Oryzias latipes: one gene and its partner. The protein of the gene in region 1 purifies or fractionates together with the protein of each later gene. This does not show direct contact. Links are inferred from orthologs where the notes say so. Each region holds a gene or a part of one and is shown on either strand. Other genes may lie near its edges.

The links.
Region 2: the proteins of saal1 (region 1) and tmem43 purify together in Homo sapiens (affinity purification with mass spectrometry; 3 studies listed by BioGRID and IntAct, with this or other methods). This does not show direct contact. The link is inferred for Oryzias latipes from reciprocal best matches to the Homo sapiens genes SAAL1 and TMEM43.

Annotation. Positions count from the first base shown.
Region 1 is NC_019864.2:15,654,556-15,658,529, forward strand, and holds the start of saal1 (protein SAAL1), read right to left. Parts: upstream 2,810-3,974; 5' UTR 2,682-2,809; coding exon 2,678-2,681; intron 2,180-2,677; coding exon 2,001-2,179; intron 1,510-2,000; coding exon 1,408-1,509; intron 1,061-1,407; coding exon 977-1,060; intron 867-976; coding exon 787-866; intron 695-786; coding exon 635-694; intron 550-634; coding exon 434-549; intron 292-433; coding exon 126-291; intron 1-125. UniProt on the Homo sapiens protein: Plays a role in promoting the proliferation of synovial fibroblasts in response to pro-inflammatory stimuli.
Region 2 is NC_019863.2:1,702,881-1,707,179, forward strand, and holds the start of tmem43 (transmembrane protein 43), read right to left. Parts: upstream 2,801-4,299; 5' UTR 2,794-2,800; coding exon 2,668-2,793; intron 1,833-2,667; coding exon 1,686-1,832; intron 1,599-1,685; coding exon 1,464-1,598; intron 636-1,463; coding exon 541-635; intron 467-540; coding exon 417-466; intron 332-416; coding exon 262-331; intron 194-261; coding exon 123-193; intron 37-122; coding exon 1-36. UniProt on the Homo sapiens protein: May have an important role in maintaining nuclear envelope structure by organizing protein complexes at the inner nuclear membrane. Required for retaining emerin at the inner nuclear membrane.

The sequences.
Region 1 (3,974 bases):
TTTAGAAAATAGAGAAGCTTGAGTCACTTTAGGGTAGTTTAAATGCTACCCCAACAATATTGCTAAGTAATTAATAATCATTCAAATATGTCAGATCAATAAAGAATCTTTCCTTTAATTCTTACCGAAGCTGCTTGACGGCTTCTAGAAGACACAAGGTCAAGTCCAGCGGGGTGTCACTTTCATCCCCCCTCTTGTCTTGTGGCTTATCTGTGATCCAGGTCTTCATCAGCTCTTCATCAAGGTCAAACAGTTTATCAACCAGGTCCCCCACTTTTTCAAGCAAATCAGCTGATAAAAAAAAACATCAAATATTCACATATTTGAACCATTCAGTATACATTTTATATGAATAGAAATCTTTTTGCAGCCAAAGTTTTTTCTGGTTATAATTATTTATTTAGCTTTTTATTGAATGAAATCGGTGCCATACTGTTGGTAGAGCTGGACATGATAAAACAGAGGTTGGGACACACTGACGTCTGCTGTCGTATTCGCTGAATCCACAGAGAGCAGACATCTTTGTGTGATAAACAGGTTAGCAGCAATCTGCAAACATAGTGAAAGATGGTGCATGTTTGTCTTTCACCGATCTGCATTTTTACAAGCAAAAAAAAAAAAGTGTAAATATCACCTGCTGGTTTCCAGGAGGGTTGGTGGATCTGCATCTCCAAGAAGAAGCAACAGCACAGCACTGTGGCCACAAAGGGAGTTGCTTTCTTTACAATTAGAAACTTTAGCACAAAGCATGAGAAAAGAATAATAATAATTTAGGTGTTTACAAACCACAAGTCTTCCTTTTGGCTGAGAGTAACACAAGTGTCAGGGAAACAGGCTATGTTTCCAAGTATTCCTACACAAATTTCCTGATGAAAAAAAAAAAAAACAGGGAAAATTAATAAAGCTTGTAAGCAAACTGAAAAAGCCGATTACATTCTGAGATAGAGTGCAAGATCTGAAGTAAGACTTTACTCACTGTGAGACGTGGACAGCGGGATTTAGATATGACTCCAAGGAGAATATCAGCAGCTTTAAATTCTTGCAGAAAACGGGCCACATCCTACACACAGCACACAAAAAAGGACCACAAATACATAAACTTGGAAAGAAATTCCAATTTGAAATGTAAAACATGACATAATTAGCAATGTTGAAATTAAATAAATGTGGGTAATAGTTTTGATAGATTATGTTTAAATTCAATAATGCTAAAGTGGAAAGTTTTACAGATAACCACTTATTTACCTTCTTATTTGCTTTCAGGATAACTTAAGTTTAACACCAGTAATTTTGATGGATTTTAGTGTTCTGGTTGAATGCTATTTATATTTAACTTGGTTTAAATGGAAGCTGTTCAATTAATAAAACCAAGTAAACTTTGTAACGTGACACAGTTGGAAAGTGTACCTTATCCATGGCCATATCCCAGACTTTGCACAGGTCTTCCTCATCATCATCGGTGAGCTTCACTTGAGCTTCGGGGTTCTCTTCAGAAAGTTCACTGACCATCTACAAGGAAAGGTCAACATTCAGGCAGGATCGATTTCCCTGTGGAGCACAGGAACTCACACGAGACAGCTAGCTGTACAGATTTTTAGAAAAAGCTGCAAGACAGGGAGTGAAATTTGGGAAAAAATTATAACTTAGTGACATTCACCAACACTATTTAAGTTTTAAAGCTGCAGTCTCCCTTTAAAGCGGGGTTCTCAGAATCCAGGCCTTGGGGGGCCGTGTCCCAACATGTTTTCCAAACCAACCTGCCATTGAAGCTCCTTATTGGCTAAAAACACCTGATCCAGGTAATCTGCAGCAGATATTGCAGGATTTCTAGAAATCCAGCAGCAGGCTGGCCCTCGAGGCCTGGAGTTTCACCCCCACTTTAAAACTTTTATAGTTTTTAATGCATGTCAATGTTTATATTTAGCTAAAGGAGCTAGCTTCTTTTTTAAAGAGCATATTAGGTTAAAATTTGATTATTTTATCAATGACAGCTGGCTTACATGAATAAGGCGAGTCAAGGTGCTGAAAAGCCAGTGTTTGCTGTAAACGGTGTCTCCGATGGCGTCCGCATCTTCAGCCTCTTGTCCATCTCCTTCTTCTGGAGGTGGTGAAGGGTTACGGTCCATGACTGGAGATGAGAAGTTCTCCTCCTTCTGCTCAGCATCGTCAGTATTACTTTCTTAAAAGAAAAAAATATATAAAAATAAAAATAAATAAAAATAAACTAACAAAAAACACCCACAATGCAGTTCGGCTTTTTAAGCGCTGGAAGTTATTGCTACATAAAGAAATAGTCCTCAACGCACCGCAAAGTAATTCCGACATCAAGTTACTAGAAATATTTGGAGAAAACAGCCAAAGCAATTCTAGTCTAATGTATTACTTATCTCTACGTTATTAGCAATTATTTTCTGTTGTTGCTGAGCTTGCCGTTAAACACAGACGTTGTTTTTTTCCGTATTTGGATAGATAGAGATGATGGAAGGCAAAAGGCATACAATGAGGGGCAGACTCACTAAATCAATAACCCCTACTGTTTATCCTTGTGACGATTTCAAATTTAAGCTGCTAAACTTACTACACATGATTTGCATCTCAGATGTTTAAGCAAGTACGATAGTAATTCTTAACTATAATTTAAGGATTTCTTATTTAAACTTGTTACTTCTTGACTCACCCATAGTTGCGCGTCTAAACAAAGCAGAGACAGGTTAATAAGAGATTTAACTTTGAATTATGGATGCAGATAAGCTATTCAGTCTCCATTGTCAACATAACCCCAACTGCGCATGCGGGTCATTCGTTCCATGTGCCAGTAAAACGTACACTGCCTCCTACAGGAAACACGAGACATTACAACTGAGTGGGAATGTGATTGAGATGGCAAGTTCTGGTACTTTTTTTATTTGCACCCCTGTTAATTGGTCATAATCAGATTTTCTAAGGGAAGTGTCTATTACACAACATTTTGAACATAAAAACAGCCTAAATCTCTGTTTTCACCATGTTTAATGTAGAGATTGTATAATTTTTTAGAATTGTTTCTTTTTACCGTGTCTTTAATTCCTAATTTTACATTACTTTTTACTCACACTTAAGCTTCTGCAATGCAATTAACGTTTCAATATGTAACATTCAAGCTTTATCCTGGGAGCAATATCAAGGATCCAGCGATATACAAAATGACAGATGACCCCAAAAAACTTGGGTCATAGGGTTTGTAGCAGCAAATGTTTTGATCATGCTCCTGATAGACTAATGTTGAAATTACTACTATTTTAGATATTGTTATTGCTTGGCAAAGATACTCCCTTATTATACTTTTGCTGCCTGGTTAATGTTGATGTCCTGCTTGGTTGTTTCCTAATCCTGTGGAAATCAAGATATTAACGAAAAAGGATTTTAAAAACGTGAGACCAGAGCTTACTACTCATCCAATAGAGCAAATGAAGCCTGAATAAGTCTCTTTTCCAATACATTTGACCACAGAATAAAAAAACGTCATTCTTTTTTATTTAAGAAAGTTCAAATTTTTCGTTCAATTGTATTTAAACAAAACTGTACAAAGTTCTAATACAAGTTTTATAGCAGACAAAACCAAAACTGAATTTTAAATAACACTGTCAACATGATACCAGCATTTTAAAGTTACGAGTATCATCCTCCTTTGTTTAACACAGCAGTAATAATCTTTTCCATTATACAGCTGTCCTTCACTGGGAGTGGTTCAAAGCCCTATTTACACTTGGAGGAGCTTGAGCTAAATGACTGTACAAGGACATGACAGATGACTTTATGTGCACTTTAAGGGAAATGACCATGACAGAACAATAATATACTTTTTATTTGACTTAACTAGAAAACCAGTTAAAAACACATACTTCATCAGTTCAAGTGACGAGAACCTTTACTTTGAGATTGTTGTTGCACATCTCTTAATTGTAAAATAAAGTTTGAATATTTAGTTTTAGTTC
Region 2 (4,299 bases), on another chromosome or scaffold:
TCAGAGTCTGGAACTTGTTGATTTGGTCCACCAAACCTGAGGTTGAGCCATGGAGAAAGAATTACATCTGAGTGCAGCGTCTGCACCACAGGTTGGATTGTTGGCTCAAAAACAACAACAACCTTTAGACAAAGTGAAAGGTCCAGCCTGGACTGCAGGAGCCACCACTGTCACACTCTCAACCGCCATGGCACTTCCATGAAAGGGACATGTCAAGTTACATCACACACACGTGGAGGTCTGGTCTTCATCATGGCATACCTGGGGTTTTGGTGACCTATTTCTTGATCAAAATTCCTGCTGTTGATCAGCTCCGACTTCCACTCAGTGTCTGGAGCAAAACAAAGAGAAGCACATCTTTCCGGGGCCAAAGCCAATCGCAGCCAAAGAGGAGAAATAAGGGGGGAGCCACTCACTGTAGGTGTAAGTGGTCTCTGTTTTGGATTCTCCGTTCTCCTGATAGTCTCTGAAAGTTCATTTGAAAAACTCTGACATGTTGGCAGATCCCTACATTCTTGAACTTGGTCCTGCAACACTGACCTGCTCTCCCTGTACTCCACCCACTGATACATCTCCACCTCCCTCTTCAGCTTCACCGCCTGCACCACCACCTTGTAGTTGGGGTCATGAAGAGCCTGCACACACAGAGATGCACATTAACACTGTAAGTCCCAGCGCTCTTTTCATTATGATTGTGCCGTTTTTACAGACAATCAAAAAAAAAAACTTTCATTCTTCAGGACAGTTTCTGCATAGCGGCAGGAGTTTATCAGAAATTTGCCTCTCAGTTGCAGGCAGGACGGTTGGCGCAGAGCAACCCCGCCCCCCTTTCCCCCGCCTGTTGTTGAGAGCAGGGAGAACTTATTTTTTTCATGATATTTTTTCTTTACTGCAAGTTCTAAACTGGCCAATCAGATGCTTCGATGAAAGTATGTGGAGCACAACAGGATGTCGCATGTCGAACCTTCACAAATTTTGATTGACAGATTCTCCTAAGCACGCTTTCAGTGATAGAAGTGGCTTTCCAACAAGCTCATCACTGAGCGGACAGCTTGACAAGCGTTGACTGAGACCGACTTGGCCCAATCACTGCTTACTGACCATCTCTGGCTCCAACGTGGTCACATCCGTAGTTCTAAAGAATTGACTTCATTTTGTTGGAGCAGGAAGAAAGTCATTTTTTCTGGCTGATGTCACACTCACTCAGCCCAGTTCTTCTATAGTCATTGGTAAAAACTCTGAATTTTGTCATTAAAGTCCCACCTTTTTTTACCTTAAATCCCCTTTGTATTAAAAAAAGGTTATTATTCAAATGCTATTACAGTAGTTTAGGACAGAAGCATAGAAATAAAGAGATATTTCATCATTTGTCAATGACACTGGATTAAGAATTTTCAAAATCAACATCAACGATCCAGAACAAAGGTAACTTCTGCACAGCAGCAGCGCTCATTGGGTTCTACCTGAAAGGTGTGGAGCTTTGCAGACAGGTGAACTAAACGCTGATTGTTCTGCAGTTCTAGGTCGGGGTGAGGCCCCAGAGACACCACCTGAGAGAAACCTTCATCCAGGGAGGATGCGGTCTGCAGAGCCCGACCCTGAAGAAACAGACGGAGAAACCCGACAGGTGACGATCCAGACCCGTGGCGGCTTCATCTGATGACTGACAGAGCCGTGCTCCTTACCTCGTTGGTGAAAAGAACATAGATCGAGAGAAAAAACAGTCCAATACCGAGGACTGTTCCTCCTGCAGTGTCGCCCAGTTTCTCCAGGAATCCAGGGTTGTGTTTGACAGTGACCCGCCTGTGTTGATCTGGCACTTTACCTGGATGCTAACACAACAACACCTGGATGTACACAAATGCTGGAGGAAGACACTGATTTCACAGTAATAAGTGTAAATGCATTCTTACAGTGGCCCAGAAGGGTCACAACACTTTAGATTTCGCACACCCAAATAACACACTATAATTTGTCACAACATTAAAAAAAAAAATCACTCACAACACAAAACAACAATTCACAACACTTTAATTCAGTGAGTTAAAGTGTTGTGAGTTATTATTTGGTGTTGTGAGTTAATTTTTTTTAGTGTTGTGACGAATTGTAGTGTTATTTTGTGTTGTGAAAGTGTTGTGCTGTGACCCTTCTGAGCCACCGTACATTCTAAATGAGGGAATGTACCAATGCATAATCTACAACATGAATAAACAAGAACTACAAAAAGTCTATCCTTAGCAAAAAGTACTACATTACAAGTGTATTTATTACTTTTACTTGAGTATAGGCTTGGCAAATATACTAGACCACGTATGTGTACCAGTGTAGGAAGTATGCTAATTGAATACTTCTATCTAAAGACCAAATTGAAACATTTTAAGTTTACTATAGTATCTGAAAAGCAGCCTTCAAGTATACTGCCTCTGTTTAACTTAAACATAGACTAGACTACTTTTTGCTAGGGGTAACTTCCTATAATACTCCCCAATCGCAGTTCATTCATTCTTAATCAACTGTGATGTCCGTGATAACTACAGCAAGAAGAACTAGTATTAAAGCAGACTAACTGGTTCAATCACAAAAGACAAACTCTTCTGTCCAGAACAGCATGTTTAAATATTGGTACTTGCTTAAAAAACACGCCAGAAATGTAATAAATTCACTTACAAACTGTGCAGAAGACATTTTTCCGGCTCGATTTACTCTTTTAACAACAGTTGAGTTGATGTTAGCAAACTGAAAGACTGTGGACGCGCAGGTTAGCTTTACCTTACAGAGTATCCCGACATGCATTTGGGGGGGCGGGGGCAAGATGGTTGTCAGTGGGAAGTTTGGGCGTGCCTTCGCAAACCTATTAAGACGACATATCAAGCATACCCCTCAAGGGGTTATGGGTAATGGCGTTTAGTGCACGACAGCACAGCGAACTCATGATTTCTTGTGCTTTTTAAAAGCATAAAATACTTCAGTAAAATGTAAAAGCCTTAAAAAGATATTTGATAAATACGTTTCTTCTGTCGTTAATGTTTCCATCCTATTATAGCAGCTCATAAGAAGCTTAAAACACCTGTGTGAAGATGCGTTCAAGGTTGGCTCAAAATTTAGGATTTCACTTTGTCCCTCGAATGTTGCGGGATTGTCTGGTCGGATTTCAGTGAACTTGACCTTTTGTTTTAGAAACCTCTCCTTCGTTTCACCTGGAGAGGTGGAGCTTTGTAAATAAATATATTTAGCTAAACCAGTCCTTCCATAATTATGATAAATATTATTATTAGTATTATTATTATTAGTATTATTATTAGTATTATTAAAGTTGAAAGGAGGGAGCATCACCTCCTTTGTCTTTTCTAAGGTCTGATTGCTTGCTGGTGTGTGATCAGAAAGTTACTTGACTGCTTAGAAATTGTTTACATGCTTTAAAGATTTGGGCTTTTCATCAAACAAAATGGTACTCTCTTTGTGCCTTTATAGAACCTGTTTTTCAGAGGAAGCAGGTCATGAACAACACTTGGTGTCACAGTGTCAATATATATCATGGAAAACTAAATGTCCATTCATTCATCTACCACTGAAGACGGACATGTGAAATGAAAAGCGTTAACTAAAGACAAATCCTTAACTCAGGACTCTGCAACCTGAGGTTTTGGAGCCACTCTGGGCTTTATTAACCCTTGAATAAAGATTAGGTTTGTGGTTTTGATCCAGTTCCTTTAGTTAATAAAATGTTGTCATTTTTAATTAAATATTTAAAGAGCCATGCCAGTGAAAACTGTTTTTGGTGTTTTTAACATGTTCATGTGGCATTTTTCTCATGATCAAGGACATACAGTGGTGGACAAAATTGTTGGTAGCCCTCAGTTAGAGAAAGAAAGTCCCTAATGCTCACTGAAATGACTTGAAACGTTCAAAAGTAACAAATTAAAATGTATTAAAAATCAAATAATCAAAATCAGCCATTACTTGAGTTGTTGATTAACAGAATTATTAAAAAAAAGAAAACTAATGAAATAGGGCTGGACATAGATGATGGTACCCATAACTTAATATTTTGTTGAACAACCTTTTGAGGCAATCACTGCAATGAAACAGTTTCTGTATTTGTCAATGAGCCTTCTGCACCTGTCCACAGGTATTCTGGCCCACTCCTCATGAGCAAACTGCTCCAGTTGTCTCAGGTTTGACGGGTGTCTTCTCCAAATGGCATGTTTCAGCTCCTTCCACTGATGTTCAATGGGATTCAGATCTGGGCTCATAGAAGGCCACTTCAGAATAGTCCAACGCTTTTCTCTGAGCCATTCT